Linked DNA regions of Tribolium castaneum. The protein of the gene in region 2 interacts with the protein of the main gene of each other region in a pairwise test. Links are inferred from orthologs where the notes say so. Each region holds a gene or a part of one and is shown on either strand. Other genes may lie near its edges.

Evidence for each region. The genes of interacting proteins can lie anywhere in the genome.
Region 1: the proteins of Rnf11 (region 2) and Rabex-5 interact in binary tests that used the Homo sapiens proteins (3 or more experiments, as listed by UniProt). The link is inferred for Tribolium castaneum from reciprocal best matches to the Homo sapiens genes RNF11 and RABGEF1.

What each region holds. Positions count from the first base shown.
Region 1 is NC_087395.1:26,380,279-26,385,388, reverse strand, and holds Rabex-5 (rab5 GDP/GTP exchange factor), read right to left. Parts: upstream 3,396-5,110; 5' UTR 2,904-3,395; coding exon 2,771-2,903; intron 2,004-2,770; coding exon 1,815-2,003; intron 1,765-1,814; coding exon 1,440-1,764; intron 1,333-1,439; coding exon 60-1,332; 3' UTR 23-59; downstream 1-22. Other genes in the region: dsd (attractin-like protein 1), read left to right, coding at 4,724-4,950, 5,046-5,110. UniProt on the Homo sapiens protein: Rab effector protein acting as linker between gamma-adaptin, RAB4A or RAB5A. Involved in endocytic membrane fusion and membrane trafficking of recycling endosomes. Stimulates nucleotide exchange on RAB5A. Can act as a ubiquitin ligase.
Region 2 is NC_087403.1:546,847-551,893, forward strand, and holds the start of Rnf11 (RING finger protein 11), read right to left. Parts: upstream 3,139-5,047; intron 2,726-3,138; coding exon of another isoform or gene 2,541-2,725; exon of another isoform or gene 2,262-2,540; intron 852-2,261; exon of another isoform or gene 743-851; intron 736-742; exon of another isoform or gene 357-735; intron 300-356; 5' UTR 175-299; coding exon 67-174; intron 1-66. Other genes in the region: uncharacterized protein Tdg, read left to right, coding at 2,541-2,725, 3,139-3,402, 3,839-3,986, 4,042-4,404, 4,932-5,047. UniProt on the Homo sapiens protein: Essential component of a ubiquitin-editing protein complex, comprising also TNFAIP3, ITCH and TAX1BP1, that ensures the transient nature of inflammatory signaling pathways. Promotes the association of TNFAIP3 to RIPK1 after TNF stimulation.

The sequences.
Region 1 (5,110 bases), on a different chromosome or scaffold from region 2:
GGAAATAAATGAAACTAACGAAAAATTGGGAATAAAATATATTTAAAACATTGATACAGTTAATTCTCCTTATCCTGACTCGTCTGACTATTGGCTTGTGATGCATTGGCGCCCAGCTCCCCCGTAATGCACGGAATGCTGGGTATTTGCCACCCCTGTTTGGAAAACCCCGAATATTGTGCCGTCATTGGTTTAATCGGCGATGGTAAATTCGGTCCTTCGTCCTCTTTCTCTAATAGAGTTTCTTGCGTTTCAACGAACGGTAAAACAAAATCGTCCGGTTTTGTCGGTATTAAAGGAGCCTGTGTTATCGGGCAACTGCTCCCAACTGGACTGAAGGGATCCGGTGTGAAACTTGGCGATTTTCTCTTTTCTGGGGTCAATTCAGCCAAACTACTCTCGCCACTTAAGTCGGAAAAATCGATATCGTAGTTGATTTTAGAGAGACTGTGATCGTCAGTCGGCGATGTTTTACTAACGCACGGTGTGATGTCTAGTTGTAATTTAGTTTTGGCATCGTCGATGTTACTTGTGGCGATTTGGAGATTTTGCAAATAGAAATTTTGACTGTTTTGAGTGTCGTCAACCTTTTCACTAAGTTCTGGGGTTTTACGCGGCTTGATGATAAGTGGAGTGCGCTCCAGAACCGAATTAACTTTCTCGTTCATCTCCTCTTTGAATTTTAAAATATCGTCAGTTAGTTTTTTCGTTTCGTCTTGAACCGTGTTCGTGCGAATCGACAAGTCTTTAAGGAGAGACAAGTGTTCGCACAGCTGGTGCATGCCTTCGCATGCCACAAGTGCCGATTCCCAGGCACTTACCGATGTTATCTCTCCGTTCATGTAAGCCTCGAACTCTTGCTGAGGCATATTTAACGACTCAGCGGTCAAATTTTCAATAAACGAAACGGCGCAGCACAAATTAGTGAAATAATAACCGGCTTCCCCTTGCATTAATCGACTGTCGTTGCAAAAACGCGTTACGTAAAGAATGTTACTTTTCAGTCGTGCCGGATTCGCTTTCAAGACGATGAAAATGAGAGCTGGTAAAAATTCATCGGCACTAACTGGACCTCCTTGACAATGTTGCAAAACTTTGACGACACTCTGACAACAGGAAACAACACAAGACAGCTTGTCTTGTGGTGCTTTCATTGAATCCATTCCGAGTAAATGTGTGATGGCTGTGTAAACTAAATCCCTAACTTCTATACTAGTTTCGCTAATGCAACAGTCTAAATGATGTGCGTTGACCCAACTAAGCTTGCGTATGCGTTCTTGTATTATCAAGTCTTTCTCTTCGTCGTTGGTGCTCGGTGGGCAAAACAGCCAACTAGAAGAAAAACATTCAACTCATTTTTTAACGAAAATTTAACAATAGTTTTTAAAAAATATGTAAAGCGCGTTTATAAATTTGGGTCAAATAAAAACAATACCAACCTGTAAAGACTGACCATGACGTACTTTTCGAAAAAATCCAACAACTCATCCCGAACGTCTGTTGTAACTTCCTGATACGTCTCCGTATTATTGACCCGATTACTGTACAAATTGTAATATTTCTGCGCCATTTCGGCAATATCCTCGATCGGTTTATTCTCCAACTCGCTGTAGATCTTCGTTGTGAACGACTGAACACACTTGAAAAAGTCCCTTCGGACTTGTTCACCCCAAACCCCATAGAGCGAAATAAATTCAGCCGTCAATTTATCAGCATCTGGATTCGCTTGTCTCAAATCCAAATGACGCTCCGGACGACCCGAATCTGCACCGTCCCCATTTTTACACAATTATTGCAAACACTAACAATTTTACCTTTAGCGCTTGAAGTTTTGCGAAAAACGGGCAAACTTTTCAAATATTTGTTCTTCTTGTCGGTTTGTTGGCGCTTCTTTTCTTCGAATTTCGAAAAACCAGAGACTTTGGTTTGGTCGGAGTGACTTTGGCGCGCCTTTCGTTGGCGCTCCTGGTCCATGTGGTTGCGGTAGCATTTTGAACAGTAACCTAACGAAGATGAATTAATTACTTAATGTTTTTTTCGTCGGCTTCATCAAAAGGGCGACGAAAAATATTTAATTGTTTGTGTCAATATTTCTCGAAATTTCTGCGATAAGAAAAACAAAACCCAACTTATCACGATTTACAATAGAGTAATAATTAATTAATACAATGACCTGTGTGATAAGGAAAAAATTCGATAACACATTTTCCGGCCTTGTGTAATAATGGACTACGGGTTATTATAGTTTTCTGACAACGAATTAAATAAATGACTGTATTTTAGCAAAAGGTAAACCAAAAAATACACGCTGACAAAGCGCTAAATTCTCAATAGTACAAGATAAAAAGAAGAATGCAAAAATTATATCGTAAATATCAAAATATTAAAAAAAGCTAATTCCCATTTGCCAATAAAGTGCTACAAAAAGCACTTGATATATACGTTAAATAACCACTTGATGAGAATGAAGATTTCCGTATCAAGGTTTTGTTAAGTCTTAAAAAAAATAATGTACCCAATGGCCAATTTAATCGAAGGTTATTATTTGGGACAAAAAATCGTTTGATAAATTCCACTTTAATTTTTTTCTCGGGTTTGTTGTGAAAATTGTCATCAGTTTTTCTCAGGATATTAGGAACGCAAAGCTCAACACGTCTTTATTTTTTTTTTCAAGTGAATTCACGATGGAGTAACGATTAATTAATACAATGACCCGTGTGATAAAAAACTCGATAACACACTTTTCGGCCTCGTGTAATGGAGGACTTACCGTCCCAATCGGCGTTTCCATAGTATCCGCACCCATTTTTGCACTTGAGATCGGCTTGATTGATCCTTAAAGAGGGTTGTTTGGTGGCGTACATCATGTACTTGTAAGAACGCTGCAAGGCAAATATCGGCATTTTCACCCCACTAATAACACTACTTAAGAACTAAAGAAAATAGTTTATGAGTCCGTTCTTTGTGAATTTCTCAATCGCCCATCTGTTGTGGATTTTTCACTCGTTGAGTGACGATAAAAGGCACTCGTTTTTAGTTTTTGATTATTTTACCACGGTGGTACGAAGCTGTGATCGTGTGCACACAAATTCAACTCTTTCATTAGCATTTGGACGACTGGGAATTGGGGGAATTTTAGAAAGTTGATGCCCGCTGTTTCAACGATGTGAATCCTCGTTAGGGATTCGATGAAGGCACTTATTAAACTTTCACCAGGATCAGCCATTTGTGGAGGGTTTGTCAAGGGGGTGAATTTGTTAACGACAGGGTGCTGGTTGGAAAAACGCAAGGAGGAAACGGGGGGCGAACGCTCGGTGTTGTTTTTTTCGTGAAACGCGAGACAGCTTGGCTCGATTAAGACGAGAAAACTGCCGTTGCAAGATGATGGAGAGTCTTTTATTGGAACGAGTTTATCAAGCGATAAGGATTAACCAATTGAATGGACAAGGTTAAAAGTCTAATTTGACCAAGAATCCTTATCTACGGCCAATCGCAGCGAGGCACAGTTTTCGTGCTAAATAACTGAAGACGATTCGCGTCAATGATTTTTTCAAACGGTGATAAACAACAAATTTAGCGATGATTAATTAATGTTTACTCACCGTCTAGCAAGTTTCGTCAATCGCTCACTAACAAAATGTTTTGCATCTTTCTTGTGGTGATGGTGATAACCTGAAATCAGAAGCGCCTTTCAAGCACAAAGGAAATATAATGTAATGTGTGTCGAGAGTCAATATTGACCGGAACAACCAATTTCATTGAACAAGTATCACTTATTTGGCCAAGATTACTCAAGCAATTTCATATAACCTTTTGGCCTTGATAAAACCGACTTAATTTTAGAAACAAAAAAGGACTCACACGCCTGTTTTATCACTCGTTTTGCAGCAATAAGGACTTTTTTACCAAATTTATCGCTCACAGTTCATTTTTTATGTTTGTTGTTTTGATCAAAAAATCAATAACAGCTGACGCACGCCATTTTTTACCTTCGCAGTGCTGCCAACCTTGCGATAACAAGCGCCCAAACTACTTTTTTCAAATGAGATAAAAAATCTTTTATCAAAAAAGCGAGAAGGTTGCCCTTTTTTTATAAACCACTTGAAATTATTTAAATCAAGGTCCATCCACTCGTCGAATGATTTGATAATTCTTATCTGGAAACATCTGGTGATGATATCATGCAAATTAATCGGCTGTCTTGTGCATTCAGTATTTTTAACAATGATTTAATTAAAGATTGAAGCCACATGTGTGATTTATGGGGCCACCAATAATACATTCACTTGGAATGTTAAAAGAGTGGCGTAGCGCCAATCGGATTGTATCATTTTTTATCGCAAACCGAGCCGTTAAAATGATAATCCTGTCCGTTTTTAGTGTTCTTACTTCGATAAAGCGATAAAACGAGCTTTTTGCTTAAAAATAAAAAGCCGCCCCCTAATCTGGTGACTTTAAGCGCTTACGTGTGCAAGCCTTCCGCCAGTTGACATTTCATCTGTTATGTAGTTAATTGTCAAAAAAATATGGAAAATAGTATCTCTCTGAAAAAACCGTCACCCCTTGGCCAAAAAAGCACCGAAATGAAGAAACCATCACCTAATCATTAACACCCGTTCTAATCTCGCATCGATAATTCCGCCACTCGTCCATTTTCAATTAAAATTTACCGTTTTGTTTTGACGTCGACGTAATGCAACTGTAAAGTAATGGTGGTAATAAGATGTTAGAAATTTTCCAAATGTTTTTGTTCTTGTTCAAGTCGAAATACCGTCGAAAATGTTACGTGTGGCAGGCTTTGTGTTGTGCTGTTGTGGTTTTAAATGTTTGCTCTCTTGTTAAGGCCAAATGTGCGGATTGTAGCGGCAATGGGGTGTGTAAAAATGAGACTTGTGTGTGTTACGACGGCTGGCAGGGGCCCCAGTGCCAGTTTTGCGGCGGAAAAGTGCGGTAAGGGGACACTATTACTCGGTCTAGTCGGCTGGCTCCATAGACATATACCGCAACAAATGTCAAGAAAAAAATTAATTTTTTCCTTGCTTCAGTTTGGGTACCTCCACCGGTACCATTCACGACGGCTTGGGCAACTACTCTCTCAGCGTGAAATGCT
Region 2 (5,047 bases):
GAAAGTAATTAATTGGGACGTGCATAAAATACAAACATTGTGGGCCACAAGTGGCCCAGCACGTACCTGGTAGTTGGGGGGCCCCAGCTGCTCAGAGGAGGACTCGCGTACGCTGTCGCTACCTCTCAACAGCGAAATGTCATCTGTTGTCGACCGTTTCAAGCAATTACCCATTGTTTTTACGCTTGTCACGCATTTAGGTCTAAATATGAGTTCCTAATGCCATATTTTGGGAAACAAGGAAACGGCTCCTCAAACATGTAGACTGTCCTGAGGGAAATCCTCACCGGTCCTCAATACTATACAAAATAGACACAAAAAAGTATTAACAATGGAGTTACCTTGCCAACAATTACCATTTTTGTTCTTTTTTTTTCTAATTTAACACTGTCGGTTGTCAAATTTAGGCAGTGTGCTGACCTCTAGTACGAATTTAATTTACTCGATTTACATTGTCGAGAGCATGATCAGGGCAAATGAACAACTTTGGAAGTGATTAAGCTTCAATTTGTCGTAATTGCATAAAGAATTTGGTGTTAGAAATGTATTAGAAAATTTCACCTAAACAAATGTCAAAACACGATTGACGTTCATTGACGTTCATCAGCTGACCATCAGCTGTCAAGTTTATTGTTGCAATAAATCGTAAAAACTTTTTCCAAATTTTGATAATTTATAACACCCAGTTACAGCACTTTACGAACAAAAAAACAAAAATACTGTCCTGATAATGGATACTAACTGTTTTTCACAACTCTGCAGAAAACACGACATGTAAACACATACGTCACAATGAACCCACCGCGCATGCTCCGCCCTTCTTTGTTTTTATTTGATTTTCTTAATTTTTATCAAAGAAAAAAGTGGGGTATTGTATGATAAAACTAATAAATTGATAAATAAGATAGCGTGAACGTATTTTTTACATTAATTATTAAATGATAATCAATAATTTATTGACTAAAAAATATTAGTTATTACTTATTTATTATTTGTATTACAAATAAACAAATGTTGGTTTGTTCAAAAATAAAAAAATATTGAACATTACAGCATTTAGATACAACAAAAAAATTCTCTGTAAAACTTTTACAGAATGGAAAAGCAGGGGTCATCAAAAGACCAGAGTTAAAATTTAGACGCAAAATATATAAGGTGCTTATAAAATTCTCCAATTTTTAGAAAAATATGTAAAATATTCCTATATGATTCCAATAATTTACAGAAAATTTCTAGTCAATCTTTATAATAGTTCCGTTGTATCCCTCACTGAATATTTTTTTTTTCGGTACAAATGACAATTTTCATTTAAATTTTTGTTTGAAAATCGAATTTCTGACTCTCATACTTTTGCTCTTTTACGTGCAATCTGTATCTTTTAGCAAAGAATAAATTCTGTATTTAGACAAAAGGCAAATTTTGCAACAACGCATCTGTATTTTTTTGAGTGAAATTGAGCACAAATTGAGAGTTTCTAGTGGGTTGTCGCTGGGATATAGTTTAACACAGAATTCCTTTCTTATACAGAAACTCTCATTTTGTACTTTATTTTACTCTAAAAAAATTTAAATGCGCTATAGCAAAATTCTGCAATGAACTGAATTGGGATATAAAAGAGACACAAGAAAAATGGTATCGTTCTATTTAAAAATTCTATGATGATGTTATGGCGCCGCCATATTGGTCGCCATGACTGATCCAGATAGGTCAAATTTGAGCTCAATTAAAATTAAAAAGTTACCTATTTTTGAAAAATAAAAAAATTACGAATTTTATGCGTAACTTCGGTATGTCGTGAAGAACTTGACCTATCCGATAATAATGCGTTCAAATGGTAGAATTTTACCCAAAATACATAAGTCTTTTTGGCAAATCTTCAACATAAACGTAATTTTTTCAACATTTTTATCTACAAAAACAATAAACAAACATTTTGTGGCAACCGAGATAGCCTCCAATTTTTTCACTAAAATTTTGACTTAGGGGAGCATTAAGGAAAGTCGTTTAAAAAAAGCAAGGTTTCTGGGGTAGGTAAATGTTGTAGCTTTAAAAACAGGACTGGTGCTGACTGAAACTTTGTGGGAAAAAAAATACCAAATGTAGGGTGTAAAATGGAAATTTATCAGTGGTGGTTTTATTGGTTTGAAAAAGGGGTTGCCCTCTGTGGAGAGTAGACGTAGTCGAGGGTGCGGTATTGCAGTTTTCTTACCGAGTGTAATGAAATAATGTCATTATGATTTTTTTTAGTTTGGTGCATTTTTTCCTAGAATGCGCTGATGAAAAAGCGACGTCAGGCGTCGGAGAAAGCGACGCCGACGGAGACACCGACAATGAGCTCCGGAACAAGGCTTCCACAAAAATACAGGCCGATAACATTCTATTGATTTTTCCGAAACGTTCGTTGAACCAATCACAGAGTTGGGACTATTTTTAAAGGGTGAGGTTGTTGTTGGGTTTTTCTAAAGCTAGTGTAGCAGCTAGATGTAACGTGTGTGCGGTTTTTGCGTTTTTGGACGAGCGACAGCTCGGGACGACCGCCGATGCAGGTGGCAACTCTTTTCCGCGAGTCCTCCACTTTGCTGGGAGCCACCATGGAGGCGGGCGGAGGCGGCGCCGCCGCCGCCACCGGAGCCCCGGACTCCGGAGTCTCCGCATTACCACCCGGACCCATCGCCACCTACGACTACAACAACCACCCGGTGACCTTCTCCAACAAGTACAAGCTGTAAGTACAAACAAAACACAACGTGTAAACACCTCCTGACCCCAAATGCGACCTCCAACGCCTACTCTCTTGCTATTTCGAAACGATATTACTCAATCGCAGCGCTCCCAGAAATCCGGTCCACGCTTTTTGAGACACTCTGTATACCACCCCTGCTGCTTATCAAAGGCTTTCGCTTCTGCATGACGACCAGCCAGCCTTCAGTGTTTACGTGTTGCCTAGTAAAAACAGCCTTGAGCAACCCTTAAAAGACCTTGGCTTGTAACACCAGCAACCGAAACCGATGTAAAATTCTAGACTGCACAACAGTAAAATAAAACAGTGCATCCTGCATGATGTCTCCGCCAAGAGCCTCCATTTCTGCCACTGAAAGTGTTTCTAAACAACGTTAATGGTTGTGTTCTTATGTGTAGAAACATGAAACTTGAACCCCATGATGATGGTTATGAAACTAGTGCTGATATGTTGCTTTCAAACACTGCCAGTGTTAATCATGAAGTGAAATGTGAAAAACTCGAAGATCCTTACAGTTTTATTGACGATGATCCTATTCCGATGCTTCCTGCTGCTGCACAAGGGCCTCCTCATCTTGTCAATCCTATGCCCCCGCTCAACAACCAACTCATACCAACAGGACCCAAGAAAAGGGGGCGGAAAAAGAAGATTAAACCAGAAGAGTAAGTCAAAAAACAAAAATACTACAGCCTAAACGCTCAAGTGAAAGTGTGCGAAGGATGGCCAACCTAAATTCGTGAACTTATCCAATGCCATCGGTGATTCAGATCGCGTGCGGCAGTGGCGTGCCGATTTGCCGAAAAGGGGCAAAAACGCAAAACAGTCAAAACGAATTTCCTAGACACAAGAGGCGTCTCATCTTCCTATTTACAACATACATTGCATTTCCAAAATGGTGTTGCTGCCAGTTGGAATAATTTTTTGCATGCTGAATTGGCGCAGTCGGTAGTTTTAACGCCTAAACATAATCTTTTGGATAGACTCGACCGTGTCTCGGTTAGATTCGCCACTGCATTCATTGGCATAATTAATTGTTTTTGTGTTTGTTGGGTTTTCCACAAACGCAATTAATGTATCGTTTTTGCGTGTTTTTGCCAGACCGGGCTATAATCAAGATATGAATGGTGGGATTCCTCGGCCTATAAAGGAGCGAAAAAAGCACGATCGATTTAACGGGATGCCTGAAGAAGAGGTGTCCAAACGAACATTGCCGGATCACCTTACCGAAAATTTAGATATAATCATTGTAAGTCTGATTCTGAATGGATAGTTGGTTTACTGATTGATTGATAATTTCGCAGATTGGGATAAACCCGGGCTTATTTGCGGCCTATAAGGGTCATCACTATGCCGGTCCTGGAAACCATTTTTGGAAATGTTTATATTTATCAGGATTAACACAACAGCAAGTATCAGCTGACGAAGATTATAAATTACTTCAAGTAGGCATTGGCTTTACAAATATGGTACAGCGTGCAACCAAGGGTAGCGCTGATTTAACTCGTAAGGAAATTAAAGAGGGTAGTCAAATATTATTAGAAAAATTACGAAAATTTCGACCTAAGATTGCCGTTTTTAACGGCAAGTTGATCTATGAAGTCTTCTCCGGAAAAAAGGATTTCAAGTTCGGACGGCAACCCGACCTCGTCGACGGCACAAACACGGTGAGTTAAAGAAGTTTATGATACGAGTTTTGTAAGACAGCTTTGTAAATGAAATGCCTAACACATAGTATTTTTTCTATTTTTAACAAAAACATAATAAAAAAAATTGGTAATATAACGACACATGAATCGTCATTATTAATTTGCACGCCTTCACGAATTCGGCTTTGGTAGCAAATACGCGGAATTTAACAGTAGGTGTTGCATACACTATTTTTTCTACGACTCGACTAGTTGTAATAACAATAAATTTTCACGACTTTTAACATAAACTAGAATACTGTATAATAATCAAAATCAAAATGGGCAAAGCCACCCTTATTATTCTTTTCTCTCCTACCTGCAAATAACTACCGCGAATTGGCATGATTTTAAGTGTCAGATACCCATGGTAATCTAATAAATAATAATAATTAACTGATAATGCTATCATACGTCATACTGCATTTCTGTTGGTCGCAAACTTATGTCTTAATGAATATTGTTGAAGTAAAGAAAAAAACTGTTATATGGTGCAATTTTTTCAGTATATGTGGGTGATGCCGTCGTCCAGCGCTCGATGTGCGCAACTTCCTCGAGCGGCGGATAAAGTACCGTTTTACGCTGCTTTGAAAAAGTTCCGCGATTATTTGAACGGGGTAAT